Neurospora crassa OR74A: one gene and its partner. The protein of the gene in region 2 binds, or shares a complex with, the protein of the main gene of each other region. Links are inferred from orthologs where the notes say so. Each region holds a gene or a part of one and is shown on either strand. Other genes may lie near its edges.

Region 1 (9,512 bases), on a different chromosome or scaffold from region 2:
GGCCAACTTGTTTTCTTCTTCGAGATCCTCTACCAGGCGGCACTTGTTGAAATAGTTGCTGCGCAGCTTCTTGACGAGTTCGGCTTGTTTGTCGTGGGCCTTGATCTTTGCCTGGAGCTCTTCCTGCGAATTTTGTAGCCGAGATTCGTGGGCGTCGCACCAGCGCGTAAAGGGGTTCACAACTAGATCTCGGATGTTTTGCGCAATTTTCTTGTGGTTCTTGGAGGCGTCTTCCATCTCGGTCCGCACACCCTCATAAGCCTGGCGGGGGAGACAAGTCAGTCAACGCTGTCTCGGCCAAGATGAAGCCTGGTCTGGCTTTGCTGGCATGTGATTCGTACCTTGCGCACACTTGCGCCATCGTCGCGGTTGAAGCCGTTCGGGATCTTGTCAACGGCAGGGGCGATTTCGGATAGACGCTGACCATACACGTCCTCGGCTTCGGCGCGCATGCGAGCGATGGTCAGGAGTTGGCGGTTTTCGACCACGCCTTGCTGGAGCTTGCCAAACAGGACCCCGAGGCCTGAGCACGTGTGCGTCAGCACGGCCGACAACGACAGCGGATCTACTGGCGACAGCCAAACTACTTACCTGCGGCGTAGTCGTTGGACCAGAAGGAGTCCGCGAAGCCCGGCATTGTGGTAAGGAGGGCTATCGCTCGATAGGATGAGTCGGTGGTATGTAGCAGAGACGATGATGTTTGGGATGAATTAACTGTGGGAAAACTTGTGGCAGCAGGGGCAGCGAGAGTTTTTGGTCGGCGCGCGACGCTGGAGTGAGGCTGAGGCAAGCAGGATCCCAGCTGATAATCCTCGCCTAGGTCTGATTGAGGAGAGGCCGGTGAATACGGTATACGATCCGTCAGGGTAGTCCAAGTCGGGGTCCGGGGTGGTTGATCCCGTCAGTGTCGTTTCTCGAAGAGCCAGTTGAACTAGGCGGCGGGAAGGTGGGTAAGTCTGGCGGGTCTGGGATTAAAGGGGGGGCGCAGCGCCGCCGAGTGGCCTGGGGATGGAGACGACGCAGGCACCGTGATAGCAGCGGGGGTCTCTTTCAACGGAGCTCAATGCCGGTCTCCTTGTCGTGGGATCCAACTATCCGGATATGGGACCAAATCACTACCTGGATAGTCGACTAGGTACCTGGGTGATGAGCATGAAGTTGGCGGTGATCGCCGACGGAACTAGGAAGGAACAACAAGAGCAAAATGCAGTGGCCTGCTAAAGTGTCAAAGTAAAAAGAAGTGAAGTTGAAGAAACGCTGGGGGGGGGGCTTCAGGGGAGGGGAAGGAGAAGCACCGGCAGCCAAATTGGAAAGACACAAGGCAAAAGTCCAGTCGTTGTCGATGTCGCAGTCAGAAATAGCAGTCAGTGAGCACAAGGGACGAACGGGCATTCGTGAAACAGGGGCAACACACACTCAAACTTCTTCAAGTACAGCACGCAGATGGGTGCACTTCCTTTACCTACACTAGAAGAGGTGGACGGCAGGATGTGGTGCGCTTGCAGGTAGGTAAGTCTGGTAAGGTAGGTACGGGCAGGCCGAGTGGAAGTGGTGGAGGTGCAGGGACGGTGTCCACCGAGAAGTGTCATGGTGGGTTGGCTGTCATCGGGCAGCCAAGTCTCACTCATTCAGTTCCAAGTTTCATTGGAGGAGGGGCAGCGTCAGAAGGATCCACACGTGAGGTACAAGTACGCCCTAAAATAGGTAACCTCAACCTCCTCGTGTAGGGGTCGAGGGGTCTTGAGACGGGATGGAGCCTATCAAACTCAAGTTCCCGTGTCTGTTTCTTTCTGGAAACGTAGTTTTACACTTCTACACTACTTGAAGGTGAATGGTCTGCGGATTAGTGCTGAACTGAATGACTGAGACTTGGGCTGTGAACCCCACTGTCCCTCCTCGGATGTCCATGCCAAGACCGCTCTCTCGTTGGATGTCCAGACCACAAAGTGTAGCAAAGCATCACCATCGGGCAGCTTCGCCGCCAGCAGAGTTAAGGTCGCCGATGAGATACAACAGAATATGAACATTTGAGTAGTATTGTGCTTCGGGCTCGTCATGTACTTTGATGGGAGATGAAGGAACTGGCACGGCCCAAAGGCTGTGGTCCCGTCAGTTATGGATGCTGCACTTTATACATATACGCCAAGATACCCACTCTACGAACCACTCAGTAGACGTGTAGATCTCAGTTGGAGTAACTGTTCATGACTCCTTTCGACATTACCTATTCGTGCCTTGACTCGGATTCTAGATGTAGTCGCTTGAGACGCACCGGTAGGTCTACACTAAGTATACACGCTTCTTTTGCATCTAACTCAAGAAGTGTATGCATTTCCAGGTCGCATCATCAATGACATGACAACGCCGCGGACTATCAACTAAGATGAAGTAACCCCGCTAAGCTTTAGGCGATTTCTAATCCTTCAACGACAACACCGTAAACACGCTCCCCTGTTTCTACTTACGCATCTCTTTTCCCTTTTCCCTCATTCATCGCTTTTTCGGCCATAACGTTGGTGAAACAGTCGTCCCTGAGAAGATGAAGGAAGAAAAGACCCGCGATGTCGGGGATGATGTTGAGCGTTTATCCGCCCCCAACACGCGCCGTCAACGGCGAGGATTCGGCCGCAAGTTCTGGGCCGCCGTGATCATCTCTCTTTTATTGCTTCACCTTCTCGTCCGACCCGCCAGCTATGGCATGTCGGGTTGCCTGCCCAGCTACCCGAGGGAGAAGAGCATTGAAAAACGCGTGAAGCGTATCCTGTCACACACTCCATTGATCGGTACGACCACAAATCAATAATTATTCACCAAATACTGACATAGAGTATAGATGGACACAATGATTTGCCAATCCTGCTGCGAGCCGCTTTCAAGAACCACATCAATGACAAGAACTTTACCACCGGCTGGGAAGACGGCACGCTCCCCGGTCATGTCGACCTTGCACGCCTGAGAGCTGGTATGAACGGAGGGGCCTTCTGGAGCTTGTTCTGGCCTTGCCCTGCCAACGGCTCCGACTTTTCTGATGAAAACTATCTGCCCGGTGGGTTCAACCTTTCACGCAGCCTTACTGCATAGCACGTCAAGAGAAAAAGAGTCTGACATTATCCCTTTCCAACCACACAGCCGTCCAGGCTACCCTCCAACAGATCGACCTAGTCGACCGCCTCAAAGCCGCCTATCCCAAGGACCTCGGGCCGGCAGTCTCCAGCAAAGCCGCCTACAAGGCCTGGAAGCACCACAACCAGCTCATCTCGCCCATGGGCATCGAGGGCCTGCACCAGATCGGCAACTCGGCCGCCACGCTGCGGCGCTACCACGCCCTGGGCGTCCGCTACGCGACCTTGGTCCACAACTGCGGCAACAAGTACGCCGACGCCGCCCTGCAGGAGAACCCATTCCGCAAGGCCCCGTCCCACTGGGGCGGCGTCAGCCCGGCCGGCGAAGCCCTAGTCAACGAGATGAACCGCATCGGCATGATCGTGGATCTGGCCCACACCAGCGTCGACACGATGAAGGATGTTTTGGGTGGCTCGGGCAAGGACTGGAATGGCAGCAGGGCCCCTGTCATCTTCAGCCACTCGAGCGCCTACGCGCTGTGCCCCCACCCGCGCAACGTGCCGGATGACGTCCTTCGTCTGGTCAAGGAGCGCAACTCGCTGGTTATGGTCAACTTCTCACCCGACTTTATCTCGTGCGTGGCGGCGCCGGACAGGGACGATGGGCTGCCGGATTTTTACCCGGCCAATGCGACTCTGGAGCATGTGGCTGACCATATCATTCATATTGGCGAGCTGATTGGATATGATCATGTCGGTCTGGGTAGTGACTTTGATGGGATTCCAGTCGTCCCGAAGGGACTGGAAGATGTCTCGCGCTACCCGGACTTGGTGGCCGAGCTGCTTCGACGGGGTGTTAGTGATGAGGATGTGAGCAAGGTCGTGGGCGGTAACATACTCCGCGTGTGGAGGGATGTTGAGCTCGTGGCGGCTACGATGCAAGCTGCTGGTGAGTCGGCTCTGGAGGATGATCTGCCTAACTTGATGCCCGAGGAGTAGACATCTGAATGGGCGGCACGTAGAGAAAATTACCGTGTTTCCGCAAAGTTTTGTGGCAGCGTAGATAGCTCCAAGATGAGCCTGCAGATGGCAAGCTGCTTATATAAAGACACAAGATCTGGCTAGCATATAGACTCGGGAATTGGGTATCATAAATGTCTGTCGTGATTCGAGTCAATAAGCAAAAAGTTGCCCGTGTTTTGACTTGATCCGATGAATTGCTCTACAACGCCGCGCCTGATTCCTTTTGCGTCCCAGCGTGTCTTCGTTCTGGCTTGACGTATCGTACACTGATTTTGCCTGCCTGCCTGCTCTAAAAGCTCGACAACACCCAGCCGAGCCACGTCAGGCACATCTCTTTCTTCTCTGTCCATGCGTTCGATCCCATGGTCCGACAGCTATCGAAGCAAATGTCGCGTAGCAGAATTGCTCCAGAAATATCCAGACGTCATGGTATTCTCCAAGGTTCCCGTCACCATTACCGTCATCGACTCGCTCAACCGTGGCGCTCGATCTTGTTGAGCTTCCTGGCGTTGGCGATCTGGTTCCTCGTCTGCTGACCGCGCACGGGCAGACCCATGGCATGGCGACGACCGCGGTAGGTACCCATATCACGGAGGCGCTTGATGTTGTCCAGCACCAGCCTCCTGGCGTCGTTCTCGATTGTCATGGTCGACAGTTCGGCCGTCAGGGCAGTGACGATCTTGGGCGGGAGGGTGCCCATCTTCGCGCGCGGGTGGATCGAATACTTTGCGAGAATGCGGGCAGAGGCCTGCTGGCCTAGGCCGTAGAAGCTCTCGAGAGCTTTCTGTGGTTCGCAAGTGGAAGGTTAACCAGGGTGATTCTTGGAGCGCAGAGGAGGACGAGGACGAGGACGAGGAGGAGAGCGCACCTGGACGAGCTTGTGCTCATTGAAGTTGACTCCCAGGATGAACACCTAGCAATAAAATGTTAGAACTTTTGGACAAATATTCCCGGAAATCGCAGAGGCCGTTGTAGGTACCATCTTGTTAGCCGACGATAAGTCACCTTGTCGCAATGGGCATAACTCGGTTCAGGAATCGCGGAGGAGTCTCGACTCTCAGCTCTCAGCAACCCGCAACCCGCGATTTGGAACCGGGCGTGCAGACTTGCCGGGCAGGCGGCGGATCGTGGGGGAGCCCGCATTGGCCGGTGCAAATCCGCAGCGGAGCATTTGGGGTGCGGGACAGCTGGCATCCCATGCTCCGCCAGCTGTCGCCATAAAGGTTATACACATGCGATTGTACCTCATGCATACACTTTACCGTATGAGTCTTGCGAAAAGAAAGCCAAAATTTCATGGCGATGTGCCAAAAATGCAGATGAACAACCACTCACCATACACATCATGACGATCGACTTTACTGCGAGGCCAGAAAAGCCTCTTCCATACTCGGATGATTTTTCATCTGCAGACCAATATGTCGACAGTCTGCTGGACTTTGCGACCAATTCCCACCTTTTCCAGTTTCTCTGTGGTGGTGTCCACATTCTTGACTTCTTCACCAGCGAGCCCGGCCTATTTGTCTCTGCCGTTCCCAAGGAATGGCAGGAGTACCTGGTGCAGACCGAGCCCATGGTCCTTTTGGATTTCTTGATGAGAGATGATCTTGACACACTTGCCGCGCAAACTGGCCCGGGACAGCCTCCCGAGACGCTGGTTCAATATGTCAAGGATATCAGGAAACTTTCTTTACGACGCTCCTTCCAGCCCAGCAAGCCAAAACTACCGGTGCTTCCTCGGCAGGTAGCTTTGGGAATGAACACCAAGAAAGTTCACGAAGTCACTCACTTTTCCGGATACATCGACAGGCTCTCGGAGGACGTCGCTCGGGTGAGGGGACAGGAACTGACGCACTTGGTAGACTTTGGCAGTGGCCAGAATTATCTAGGCCGCGCTCTGGCGAGTCCTCCGTACAACAAGCATATTGTTGCCGTGGAGAGCAAGGAGGCCAACACAGCAGGCGCTAAGGATCTCGATATCTTGTCCGGTCTAGCTGAGCGGGAGAAGAGAATCCGCAACAAGAAGCTCTACCACCGCATTATGGAAAGTGTAGATCCGTCAGAAGCCAACGATGAAGAGGCACTGAAGCGCGCCGCAAAGGCACTGGGTGTGACAGACGAAGATATTGCTACCATTGATCTCCGATCGAGAAAGGAGCTTCAGGCCACTTATGCGCGGGAGGAAGGAAAGGGCAGCATTGAGTACGTCGTTGCCAAGTTGGGAGATGCCGACTTGGCCCCTGTGATCTCCCAGCTGGAGTACACGGAAACTCACAGCGAGGATGATCTCAGCATGATGGCTGTGTCCATCCACTCATGTGGCAACCTCTCTCACTACGGCATCCGGTCCATGGTCCTCAACTCGTCTATCCACGCCGTTGCAATCGTGGGTTGCTGCTACAACCTTCTCACCGAAAAACTGGGTCCTCCGACTTTCAAGCCTTGCTTCAGTCGGCCAACCCTTCAGCCATTGAATGCTCGTGTTGTTAGGGAGTCCGAGAGACGAGATCCCCAGGGTTTCCCCATGAGTGAGAAACTCTCCACCTACAATGACCAAGGCATCCGACTCAACATTACAGCGCGTATGATGGCGTGCCAAGCACCCGGGAACTGGACCGACAAGGAGAGCGATGCCTTCTTCACCCGCCACTTTTACCGCGCCGTCTTGCAAAGGATATTCCTCGACAAGGGGGTCATTTCCAAGGTCTACCACGGGCCAAGCGAGGGCGAGGGCGAGGGCGAGGATGGCAACGAGAGCCCGTTCAACTTCAGCACCAACCCCGTCGTGATCGGCTCACTCAGGAAGCAATGCTACACCTCGTTCAGCGCCTACGTCCGCGGAGCGATCACGAAGCTAACGACCAACTCGGACTTTAGCCAGTACAGCCAGATTGTACGCGAGAAGCTAAGTGACATCACCGACGAGGAGATTGCCAAGTACGAGGCCGCGTACCTGCCCCGAAAGCGGGAGCTCAGCGCAGTCTGGAGCCTGATGGCCTTTAGCGCGTGCGTTGTTGAGTCCCTTATCGTGACTGACCGGTACCTGTTCCTCAAGGAACATTCCGATATTGTTCGCGACTGCTGGGTGGAGACAGTATTTGACTATGGCCAGAGCCCTCGAAATCTCGTCGTTGTGGGTATCAAGAAATAAGAAGACGTGTAGGAAAATAAAACGATGTCGGATGAGTTGTCTCCTCTTCCCCAGCCACCTTTGTCTTTCACGCATACCTACCTATACAGCAATCTCTCGGATATTGTACCCCTGGGGTTGTGCGGGATGTTGTAAGACATTTGACTTGTTGACCTGATATATCTATTTTTGTGTCCGTCCAGGTTATACCCTATGTCTACCTATCCCGGGGGTTTTATTCCGCAAATGGAGAGAGTTGCAGGACTGTCGTTCCGAATTTCTGCACGCCTTCGGTTCGGCTAATGGTCGCATCCTTCTTCGATGGGGAACTGCCATTCAGCATGTCGCAATAGGTTGAAGCGATCTGTCCCACGCTGCAGCAGCATTACCCCTAGATCGGAGAGCTCTTAGCCTTCTTGCAGTTTGCCGTTGCATGTTGAGCCGAATAAGAAGACTCGACATTCCGATGATCATCAAGCATGGTCTTTGGTATGCCGGATCCCCTAGTCACTTGCATGGTGTTTGATAATTTGCTTCCGGACAGACGCTGTCACCAGACAAAGTGAAAGCCAGAACTCGGTCCGATGATCGGTGTCTAAACCTTCTCTTCCAGGTGGCACAAGCTCGGGTACCGCGACCTGTCAAGCAGAAGCAGATCAAACCGGAACATACAATTGAACCTTTTTGACCAATCATGCGGGAACGAACAAAGCTTTGAAACAGAGGCGTTCTTTTCTGCGTTATCTCTTGTCTCTTGTTGTACAAAGGCAAGTTCAAGTTCTCGGTGTGGCTTCTGACGTGCCGCGTTTTCTCGACATGACCGGTGTGTAACTGGAAGGGATACTATCAGGTGAAGGCTGGCGAAGGCTCGAGAAGTTGGCTGTTTCCGAAGATGGTCGACATGTGCTTCCTCCTGGCTATAGTGATCCAATCCAGGCTGACTACTAGAAAGGAATAGAGGGGAAAGAAGGAGAGGGGGGGTTCACTTCTCGGGATTTGATCTGTCTTTTTTTGCGCCACTCCACAAGAGAGGCTTCCCCCACACTTTCTGCTGCCCAAAGAGAAGAACCAATAACTCTTTTGCGAGAGTTAATTGTTGTTGCGGTGGCGCCAGGTCACCAGCAATGAGGTGAAACTGAAAGGCTGTGAAAGAACCCATGGCTGACAGGCAGGCAACCTCGAGGGCGCAAGCAGAGGTGAGGTACCTGCGTTTCGTCCTTTGACTTTGCTTTACATGTATAGTACACTACATTGCTTAGTGCCGGCATTGTAGGTACATTGGGAGGTATGCGTTGTAACCCATCTGTCTTACTGGCGTTTGCCCAGAGTGGTGGAGCTGGAGATGCAAAACAGAAAGAAGTAGACACCTCTCCTAACGACATCTTCCACTCATGATGTGCTTGGCAATGATTCGAATCGGAGTGATCTTGAATCTTAGTGCAGTCCGGCAAAGACCGCAATCTGTACGCTGGAATCAACATCCATCATCAAGAAGGCAAAGTGAGACAGAGATGATGGGAATCGGTTGCAGTATTTCGAGAACGCTAGATGCACCCGAGGTGCTTGACATGACAAGCGCCCGCGGTTACCTGCAGGTGCGCGAGCATGGAGGTGGATAACTTGAAGTGATGTGCCGAAGACACCTGCCCCCCCTGGTTCTGATACACTAGAAAGACATTGTTCACCGGGTTTCCTCCACTCCTTTTTTTTCTTCTGACATTTTCTTTTTATGTTTTGTCGAGTTCTATCACACATACGTAGCTACCTATGCAAGGCGCCTGACCGACCGATAGATACCCCCACAGGCGATCTCATGTGATAGAAAGCTCTCGGACCCTTACTGGGTCTGGTTCGATACCTATAACGGAAGCGTGTCCGGACTGTTGTTCTTCACATCGCCTACCCCACCACCTGCACTGGACCTAAGGTTCTACTCCATGCGTACACTAACATAGAGGTACACTACACCTATCGTCAACCCCTGGGTATGCAGCCTGGTGATCTATCCAAATATTTGAATCGAGGACTTGCATCGATCGCCATAGCACTAAATACTGCATCGCATGCAGGCATCAGTACTATATGCCGGCGGACTTCGTCTTTAGGTTCTACCACCGTGGGGTTCGAAAGAGGTTCTCCAACACGATGGCCAGGGCCCCGGCTTAGGTTATAGCACAATCACGGGCAGGTAAGGTACCTCTACCTTATCAGTTCTTCTCCCGGACCCAGACGCTTCCCCCCGATCTCGGGTCGGGTCCCCTTCATCCTCTGTCCCGCCAAGCTTTACAATGTCACAA
Region 2 (9,382 bases):
ACCCCTCCGTTGACGGATGCGACATGTGAACTGAAGTCGTCGTAGAGGTAGGTAGTGCCCCTGGAAGTTGACGACGCCCGTCTCAAGGGGGTTTTTGTCCCTTACTAACAGGGCCACGCTAGAACCGTCACGGCCCGCAATAATGGGGTACCTGCGGATACAGGTGACGACGAAGCTGTGGGGGCACCGAGGGCACCCTAATGTCTTTCCCTGCCGCCTACCCCCGCGGCCAATCTTTTGGTCCTGGCCGGACGGAAACATTGAGGTGCTCAGGGGAATGCACCGCAAGCGACCATCAGGAACGGGGAATGCGATAGCTTCTGGTAGGTATGTAGATATTATTTAGGCCACTTGCGGACGTTGCTGAGGATGTTGTAGGTAGATACCGACACTTTTGGGATGTTTTCATTACAGGCTAGTTCGCACCTAACTACCTCTAAAGAGGCCGAAACATGAACAGCACTTGAGATACCAGCATCTCCATGCTAGACATTCCTCTAATATCCAAGTCCCCAAGTATCAGAACAAAGTATCCAGGGGTATTTACAGTCTAGAAAAGTGCCAGACTCTTCTCAACCAACGGCCCGGGTACCCCTTTGCATACGCGGACGTGGCACCCCTCTGTACCTCTACGTGCCAATTAATGTGCCTAGCAAACCTCCGCATTATATCCATACAATACCAGGCAATACGAAGCTGCAGTGGGCTGCCCTAGCAGGACTGCGCCCGAGCCTTCGAACCCTGACAGCTAACAACACTTGGCTCCCGTCCCGCCTCCAAGGGAACTTCTTCCTCTTTCAACTTCACTTCTTTTTCAGGATCCAAGCCTGGCCATCTTCTCTCCTGGTTGAATTATCTCTTTCAACCACCGAGGCCGTGTTCGCCATCTGCAGTTCCATCTCGGACATCTCCCCGGGATCCGGACATCTCAAGACTTGTCGTGCAGCAGCGATTCACGAGGGATCCGGGTCGCTTCCTTCCGTGGCTCGCCTTCAGCCATTGTCCATCCTGTCCCACAGGACCCGTGAACACGAACATTTTCGGAAACACAATCACCACTGCACTCGACAAACTTTGACTTTAGGCTCGATTCAGTCCGTATTCCTTCAACATGGCGGCGGGCAGCGCACGCTACGTGCGCTACATCCTCCTTGCCTTTTTTGTAAGTCTGATCATCTCTGGTACACTTCTTGGCTCAATGCTCTGCACTCAATAGTAGCTGTTCGCTTTCCCGGTACCCCACTAACCATGACGTTAGGTTATCGCCGTTCTTTACTTCATCTCTACGCCGTCATCCGTCGTGACCCCCCTAAAAGATAACTTTGGCAAATTCCAACAATCCACCGGAAACTCGAAGCCATCGACTGGAAGTACTACCGGAAGCACTGCCGGAAGTACCACCGGAGGCACCACCGAAGTCGCCCACGATGAAAAGACACCCGCTAAGAGCAATGGCGCCGACTACGATCCTGCCCAGTACCCGTTGGCCATGACTCCGAATGACCCGGGCTGGAACGACTTGTCTGGGGTTAAGGGCGGCCCTCGCATGAACGCGACCTTTGTCACCTTGGCTCGCAACGGCGATGTGTGGGAAATTGCAAAGTCGATCCGCTCGGTCGAGGACCGCTTCAACCGCCGCTACAACTACGACTGGGTCTTCCTCAACGACAAGCCATTTGACGAAACCTTCAAGAAGGTTACCTCCTCGCTTGTGTCCGGCAAGACGTACTATGGCGAGATTCCGACCGAGCACTGGTCGTTCCCGCCTCACATTGACCAGGAGAAGGCCAAAAAGGTTCGCGAGGACATGAGACAGCGCAAGATCATTTACGGTGACAGTATCAGCTACCGCCACATGTGCCGCTTTGAGTCCGGCTTCTTCTTCCGCCAGCCCCTCATGATGAACTACGACTACTACTGGCGCGTTGAGCCGAGCGTCGAGTTCCACTGCGACATCCACTACGATCCTTTCCGCTTCATGCACGAGAATAACAAGAAGTACAGCTTCGTGCTCAGCCTTTACGAGTACTTCGAGACTATCCCGACCCTCTGGGACAGCGTTACCAAGTTCATCAAGAACCACCCCGAGCACATTGCTGAGGGCAACTCCATGGCTTTCCTCAGTGACGATGGTGGCAAGACCTACAACAAGTGCCACTTTGTAAGTATTTTCCGTGAGGATTCACAGCTTGCGACAAGTTTAGTCTAACAATGTTATTATAGTGGTCCAACTTTGAGATTGGTAGCCTCAACTGGCTTCGCTCCAAGGCCTACACCGACTACTTCGAGTCTCTGGATCAGGATGGTGGTTTCTTCTATGAGCGCTGGGGCGATGCCCCGGTCCACTCTATTGCCGCCGGCTTGATGTTGAAGAAGGAGGAAATCCACTTCTTCAACGACATTGCCTACTACCACGTTCCCTTCACTCACTGCCCCACCGGAGAGCAGTTCCGTCTCGACCGCAAGTGCCACTGCAACCCCAAGGAGAACTTTGACTGGAAGGGGTATTCTTGTAAGTCTTACCCGGAAGTTCCCTTCTCTTACTGAGCCGTCCACTGACCCCAATCACTTATCAGGCACTTCGAGGTACTACGAGCTTAATGGTCTTCCGAAGCCAGAAGGCTGGCAAGATCAGTCGGATTAGAAGGAGGCGAAGAAGAAACAGTTCTGAGGGTGTGGGGATTAAGGCTTTATGTTGGGAAAACAGGTCTGCAAATAAAACCAAAAGCGGACATTCCCTAGAATGTATTATCGTTATAATGACTTTTTCGTTCTCAATTGGTGGTACAACCCAATTGCCTGGAAACATGGACCTATAAATGGGAAAGGTTGGGCAAAAACGAAGCTGCCTGTTCTGAGTGTTTTGATGGATAGGGAAGGGCTATAAGGGGCGTTAAGGAAATCATGACACAATCACTTAGGGTTAGGTTCGTTGTTACCGACTGCTGAGATAACCCTGGTATTGCCAGGTGTGAAAAGGCAAGCTGACAGCAACACAGTTGGTCCAGTGTCTCCGTCCTTCCCCGAAGTATTTCGTCTTCGGTGTTGTATCATCTTGAACATGGCCAGTCTTCGACAGTCGTAATACAAGGAATATGGACGCCGATATCCTGTCATGCACCTTTTATTTCCTTATAGTACACGGACACATAGTTTAGGATGCGGAATGATGAACTACATGGATGAAGCTTAACCACCTCCACCACGCTCACATCACATCATCATCATCCTACTGCCATGTAACCAGGGGGGGTATCATCTCAATTGTGCTCTGTTGTGCTAGCTGCTTAACCAACAGAGGCCTTCTTGGGCTTCTTGGTACCGTACTTGCTACGACTAGACATACGAGTAGCAACACCGGCCTGTTTTATCACCATTCTTTGTCAGCACATCATTTTCACAAACTAAACACTCATCTTCCCCTTTTTCTCCTTCTCTCCCATCCTCCATCCAGGGGTCTCCATCTAGGGATTTTTCTTCTCAGGAAAAAACTTACCAAATCCAAAGCACCTCTAACAAGATGATACCTCACACCAGGGCAATCCTGGGCTCTGCCGCCACGCACGAGCACGACGCTGTGCTGCGAAATGTTGTGGCCCTCGCCGGGGATATAGGCCGTGATGACCTTACCCGTGGAAAGACGGACACGGGCAGTCTTGCGTTCGCCCGAATTGGGCTTCTTGGGACGCGTGATGCCGACTTTGACACATACACCCTTGAGCGCGGGAGACTTGATGGAGGACAGGGCGGGGGAGACGGCGTGGCGAGCACGTTGGGGCTTACGGCAACCCTGGAGGAATGAAGATAAGAGTGGTTAGCTTTTGATCAGATTGAATTGGACGCGGGACATAGGGCTGTGGTAGTAGCACGGGAACCAAAGTGGTGATAGGTGCATAGGTAGGTAGAGGTAGGCGGGTTGGGGATAGCCTCATCATCATCACTTACCCTCATGACCTGGTTAAGAGTGGCATTCTGCGCCGGAGTGCTGGAGAACAACCGCGCAGCAGCAGGAAGGATGGAAGAGGACGATGGCATCAGCGGCCGTCGTAGCAGCGACGGCTGCGCCTGCGAAAACAAGTTCCGCAAGAAAGTCGTCGCCATCTTGTGATCTTGTGGATCTTGCTGATGGCGGGATGCTCCGAAATCGTCAAGTTCGGTCGGTCGCGGCGCGCAACAGGACGCGGTACAGTACAGGATAGCGGTTCCCCAGGCCGGGCCCGGCAGGCGCACGCAGGGCCGGCGGCGGCGGGCGGTACCAGTGTGGGAACTTTTTTCGTGTCACGGGATGACACACGTGGAGATAAGCTGAGCCAAGAAGGTAGCAGAGGTACGTACCTACTGCCGTGCTTGAGGGACGGAAGCCATTGGGTAAGCTCCGAGTCGTGTGCGGCAATCATCGGTTAGCTGTGAGCCTTCGACAAACTGACAGTCACATGGCATTTGTTTTCCATTCCCCTTCGTTTTCTGAAACTCGTTCGTTGGCACCTCATCATTCCATTTCTATCGCTCGTCTGGCTCTGTTTTCCCTTCTCGCTCACGATCCATGGTTTGCTATTCGCGATTAACGAGTCACGATCCACGGTCTAGCAACAATGGTCACCGCTCGCCGTGCCCCGTGCCCGGCCATCATCAAGGTCCATTCGAGAGAGAGTGCCCCTCCTCCGATGTCCCGTCTCTACCGTGTCTCCCCCAAATGCATCCCTGTCGTGGCCACCGTTTACCCCGGCCAAGGAAATCTTTGTGGGGAAAATGACCTCTTAAGAGGACCGCCCGATTCGGAGCTTTGTGAATGGTGGAGACCTTACCTCGGCAGAGGGGGAGACACTTGACCCAGCTGTTCACAGCATATCGGCCGTGTGCCGGCCAATGCCATTGACCTTTGTTACCCGCTGGCTTGGCTTTTGAATTACTGAGAGAGAGAGGGATAGAGAGAGCTAACAGTAGAGCTCTTGTCCCGGTTGCCCGTAGGTATCCTGCTATCAAGGTGTACGCACCTATCTCCTCGAATACCGCGTGGGCTTCTGCGATAATGATCTGTTCTGTATATCAAATGCATAGTGACAGGTTAGACACATCGAAGGTGTAGGAGATGCATACGATGCAAAGGTCAAGAGAAATCGGGACTCTCTTCACCTTATTTTGAGCCCACGCTGTCATTGTTGCCTTCCATCCAATACTCCACGGATCATCGTTACGGAGCTACATAAGTACATCTTTCATCTGGTCGTTAGTGTTAGCTCCGCTGTACCGTGCCCAGCGACTTATAAGTACCCGAAGCTCGTTCCATCACACCTCCAGTTCTCCTTCCCCAAGCATTTGATACCCTTTCCGCCTTCTTTTCTTCCATTATCTCTGTCCTCTTCGTTCTTCCTAGACAGCACTCGCGCCAGGTTTCCGATCGGTTCTTTAATCATCACACATACGCATCAGACACAATGAAGTCGTTCACTAGGGTTTTGCGTCCCGCCGTCCGCAGGGCTCAGGCAGTTTCCGCTCCCAGACTCTCCAGAACTCCCGTCGTCCAATGGTAAGTTTTGTCATCTCGTCTCATGCCTGGTCTGGTCTCAAAAGAGATGGGCTGGAAGAGGGAGAAGGCGATGTGCTAATACTTGGTTTCCCGACATAGCGCTCGCACTCTTTCCACCACCTCCCCTCGCCGGGACATAACCGATCTGCCGCCAACCCCCATTACCCACTTCTCCGAGGTTGAGACCGCCATGGCTGAGACTGTCCAGAAGTTCGCCAACGATGTCATTCTTCCCAAGGTCCGCGATATGGATGAGGCCGAGGCTATGGACCCCGCCATTGTCGAGCAGCTTTTCGAGCAGGGTATTATGGGTGTCGAGATTCCCGAGGAGTACGGCGGTGCCGGCATGAACTTCACCGCCGCCATTGTTTGTATTGAGGAGCTCGCCCGCATCGACCCCTCGGTATCCGTCATGGTTGACGTCCACAACACCCTTGTCAATACCGCCGTCATTCGCTGGGGTAGCGAGGCGCTCAAGAAGAAGTACCTCCCCAAGCTGGCTACCAACACCGTCGGTTCCTTCTGCTTGTCCGAGCCCGTCTCCGGCTCTGATGCTTTCGCCCTCGCCACACGCGCCGTCGAGACCGAAAACGGCTACAAGATCAACGGCAGCAAGATGTGGATTACCAACAGTATGGAGGCCGACTTCTTTATTGTCTTCGCCAATGTCGACCCCAGCAAGGGCTACCGCGGTATTACCGCCTTCATCGTCGAGAAGGGCATGAAGGGCTTCAGCATCGCCAAGAAGGAGAAGAAGCTCGGCATCAAGGCCTCCAGCACGTGTGTGCTCAACTTTGACGACGTCGAGGTCCCCAAGGAGAACATTCTCGGCAAGGTCGGCGAGGGCTACAAGTACGCCATTGGCATCCTCAACGAGGGCCGCATCGGTATCGGCGCCCAGATGACCGGTCTCGCGCTCGGTGCGTGGGAGAACGCGGTCAAGTACGTGTGGAACGACCGCAAGCAGTTCGGCCAGCTCGTCGGCGAGTTCCAGGGCATGCAGCACCAGATCGCCCAGTCCTACACCGAGATCGCCGCCGCGCGCGCGCTCGTCTACAATGCCGCCCGCAAGAAGGAGGCCGGCGAGGATTTCGTCATGGATGCCGCTATGGCCAAGCTCTACGCTTCCCAGGTTGCCGGCCGCGTCTCCGGTCTCGCTGTCGAGTGGATGGGTGGCATGGGCTTCGTCCGTGAGGGTCTTGCTGAAAAGTTCTTCCGTGACAGCAAGATCGGTGCCATTTACGAGGGTACCAGCAACATCCAGCTTAACACTATTGCCAAGACTCTCCAGAAGCAGTACACTGCTTAAGATAGCGGGTTGACTGTCGATATGTGTTCTGATGGTAGTGTTATATAAGGGTGTGCATGTACATATTGGTTAGGATATCATGGAGTTAAGGGGATGCCGAGTTTCAAAAGGGGCAGGAAGCACCTTGTCATGATCTAGAATATTCAGCAAGCCATTTTTTTTCCGGTCACTCATTCCGGTTTCTTTCTGGTTTTCTTGATTTTTCGGTTTTCTTTACATGATTTGGGAGCCGTGCGAGATGCGATGATCCGTCGTACATTGATCTGGCTGGCAATGTCCATGAGACATGGGACTTTGATCGAACGCAACATCCACAATGCTCCGTCAACACTGCAACAAGTACTTACCTGACGCCCGTTTGCTGTCATTCATCCTGCGATATGTGCCTACGGATACTGATATGCCTTTGGCGCGCGCAGCTAGTCTTCAAAGTGATTTCACTCGAGGATAACCGAGGACGAAGCCGATGGAAAGTTGACGGGTCTCTTGATATTCGAACTCCTCGTCATCTACAACTCTTTCCGGTTTATACTGCGTAAACCAGCTGTTTGGCTCACCCCATGAGTCCTACATCCCTGCATTCTCAAACCTGGCTTCGGTCATGATTTTCCGAAGCTTCATTCACTACAAGTATCGAATCTCTACTGTGTCATTCGGGTAGGAAACCAGTCGAGTCTTGGGACGAAATCCAGCTTCTTCGGCTTGGACAATTTCCAGCTTATTTATCCCTAACCCGCAACCCATCACATCAGTGTAGTGTAGGTAGTATGCATCCTAAGACATGGATGGGCACACCGTGACCGCCTTTCCTGTCGAGACTCCAAATGGGGTTTGTCTCCTCTGTCTCAAGTCGCCGTCATCATTGCCTAAATACTTGCACATCAGGACTTTTCGGGCGATGGTGTTCTCAAAAGTCAGGCGGTTAACATGTGAGGTCTTTATACACAGACCAACCTTTGAGATTTGTTAGTGCGAAACTTACAACGTCTTCTGACAAGGCAGAAAGAGGACATGATTTTCAGGCGGTTCTATTGGTCCAAACCGAGCTAGAGTCAGGTTATGAACAACAATTGATGGTGTCCCATACATATGTCTCGCACCAAAATTTGACTGTACTTATAGCGAGCAATAAGCAGGATTGGCGCCTACCTCTAGCCATCTTGAAAGTGCCATGTTAACAAACTTTTCGAGGGTGAACTGTTGACAGCATGTTCCTTCACTAGGACGAGTGAAAGAAAGTCGACTGCGTGATCCAAGTCCCCAAAGTGTGATTCGGCATGCCCAATCACAGCCCTCCAAACTCAAGCGGTTCAAGGTGCGCCACCAACTGAACTCAAGTGCACGCACCCGTTTCGATACTGCGCCCACTGACACCCCTCGGTCTCCGGGCTTCCAATCCCATGTCCCAAGCCCAAGTGCGGAAGGGAAGTCCTACCAGCGCCCTGCACCACCATTTCAACAGTCCTACGGTTCGGTATCAGCGCACCAGGCAGACCAGGCCATCCACTCCCGTCGTGACGGTGTCGTATAGGTATCGATGTGTGGAGGTGCCCATCTTCTGTTCGGGTAGTCATTGCCTGTGGCTGCCCAACAGTCTGTCTGTGTGAGCTGTGCGTGATATGCAAACAAAAGGGTTCCATTCCAAGAGGGTCGCTGCTGTTAGTGTTGTTGACTGTTTGAAAATGCGCCGATTCGGAACCATCTGATGCCAAGACGAGGCTATCGTAGATTTTTGTTAGTTCCCAAGAACCACCCCCCTTTGGATGATGGGGTGGTAAAGAACACTGCATGGAATGGGCTCGTCGCGCCTAAATTCAAAGAACAAACGGGGACTGTTGGCCTCGAGATTTCCCGCTTAGTATGTGCGGTTCTCGTATATCCCTAGGTGTATTAGATTTCATTGTTCTCGTGATGATGGATATACTAAAGAATGAAAGACACCTAGCGGGCGAGGTACCTGACTGGGAACCGGAAGTCCAGTCGACAAATTGAAGTGTTGGACTTGGACCAAAACCACGCGATCCCCGCCTCTTCAAGGGGAAAAGTGGACGTTGCTAACAAGGAAGTGACCTGCCCGCCTTTGCCCCGAACTGCCTGTGCGTACTTCGACCGCTCAGCGTGCAGTACCAGGCATCGTCGTCTCTCGTCTGGATGCCCACTGGCTGTTTGGCTCGTCGAATCGACAAGGGCCGCCGCCGCCAAACCTATGCGAAACACACAAAACCCCGCCATCGTTAGCATCATACCTCTCTCTGCAGTACCTGCTAATCTGCTGCCACCTTGAGCCTTTCCATCTTGCACATTGAAGCCTCCTCGTTCAGTCCCGTCGAAAAAGGCAAAACCCGCCTTTTCTCTCTGTTAATGCTAATTGCTGCCCCGCCGCCACTATCTCCTCCATTACCTACCTACCTACCTCTACCTACCCGACGTCTAGGTCCAGCAGCGTAGCACTCCAATCAGTGTCTGCCTTATAAAGTGTCCATAGCACCTAGAGGTACCCTCGACCTCCATCCATCCCTCCTGGCTGGACCTCCTTATCCGTCCTC

Evidence for each region. Proteins that work in one complex are often made in the same cells at the same time.
Region 1: NCU06542 (region 2) and NCU09539 share a complex: the UniProt entries of both Schizosaccharomyces pombe proteins name them as parts of the mitochondrial small ribosomal subunit. The link is inferred for Neurospora crassa OR74A from reciprocal best matches to the Schizosaccharomyces pombe genes mrps12 and sws2.

What each region holds. Positions count from the first base shown.
Region 1 is NC_026505.1:4,522,521-4,532,032, forward strand, and holds NCU09539 (putative mitochondrial 37S ribosomal protein SWS2), read right to left. Parts: upstream 5,227-9,512; 5' UTR 5,068-5,226; coding exon 5,065-5,067; intron 4,999-5,064; coding exon 4,954-4,998; intron 4,870-4,953; coding exon 4,558-4,869; 3' UTR 4,094-4,557; downstream 1-4,093. Other genes in the region: NCU09537 (rho-GTPase-activating protein 8), read right to left, coding at 1-261, 342-523, 592-637; NCU09538 (microsomal dipeptidase), read left to right, coding at 2,540-2,783, 2,834-3,046, 3,130-4,061; NCU09540 (hypothetical protein), read left to right, coding at 5,431-7,236. UniProt on the Schizosaccharomyces pombe protein: Component of the mitochondrial ribosome (mitoribosome), a dedicated translation machinery responsible for the synthesis of mitochondrial genome-encoded proteins, including at least some of the essential transmembrane subunits of the mitochondrial respiratory chain.
Region 2 is NC_026504.1:1,581,753-1,591,134, forward strand, and holds NCU06542 (putative mitochondrial 37S ribosomal protein MRPS12), read right to left. Parts: upstream 4,245-9,382; 5' UTR 4,102-4,244; coding exon 3,946-4,101; intron 3,791-3,945; coding exon 3,497-3,790; intron 3,363-3,496; coding exon 3,288-3,362; 3' UTR 3,107-3,287; downstream 1-3,106. Other genes in the region: NCU06541 (alpha-1,2 mannosyltransferase KTR1), read left to right, coding at 1,112-1,162, 1,259-2,161, 2,224-2,512, 2,577-2,644; NCU06543 (acyl-CoA dehydrogenase), read left to right, coding at 5,436-5,527, 5,627-6,836. UniProt on the Schizosaccharomyces pombe protein: Component of the mitochondrial ribosome (mitoribosome), a dedicated translation machinery responsible for the synthesis of mitochondrial genome-encoded proteins, including at least some of the essential transmembrane subunits of the mitochondrial respiratory chain.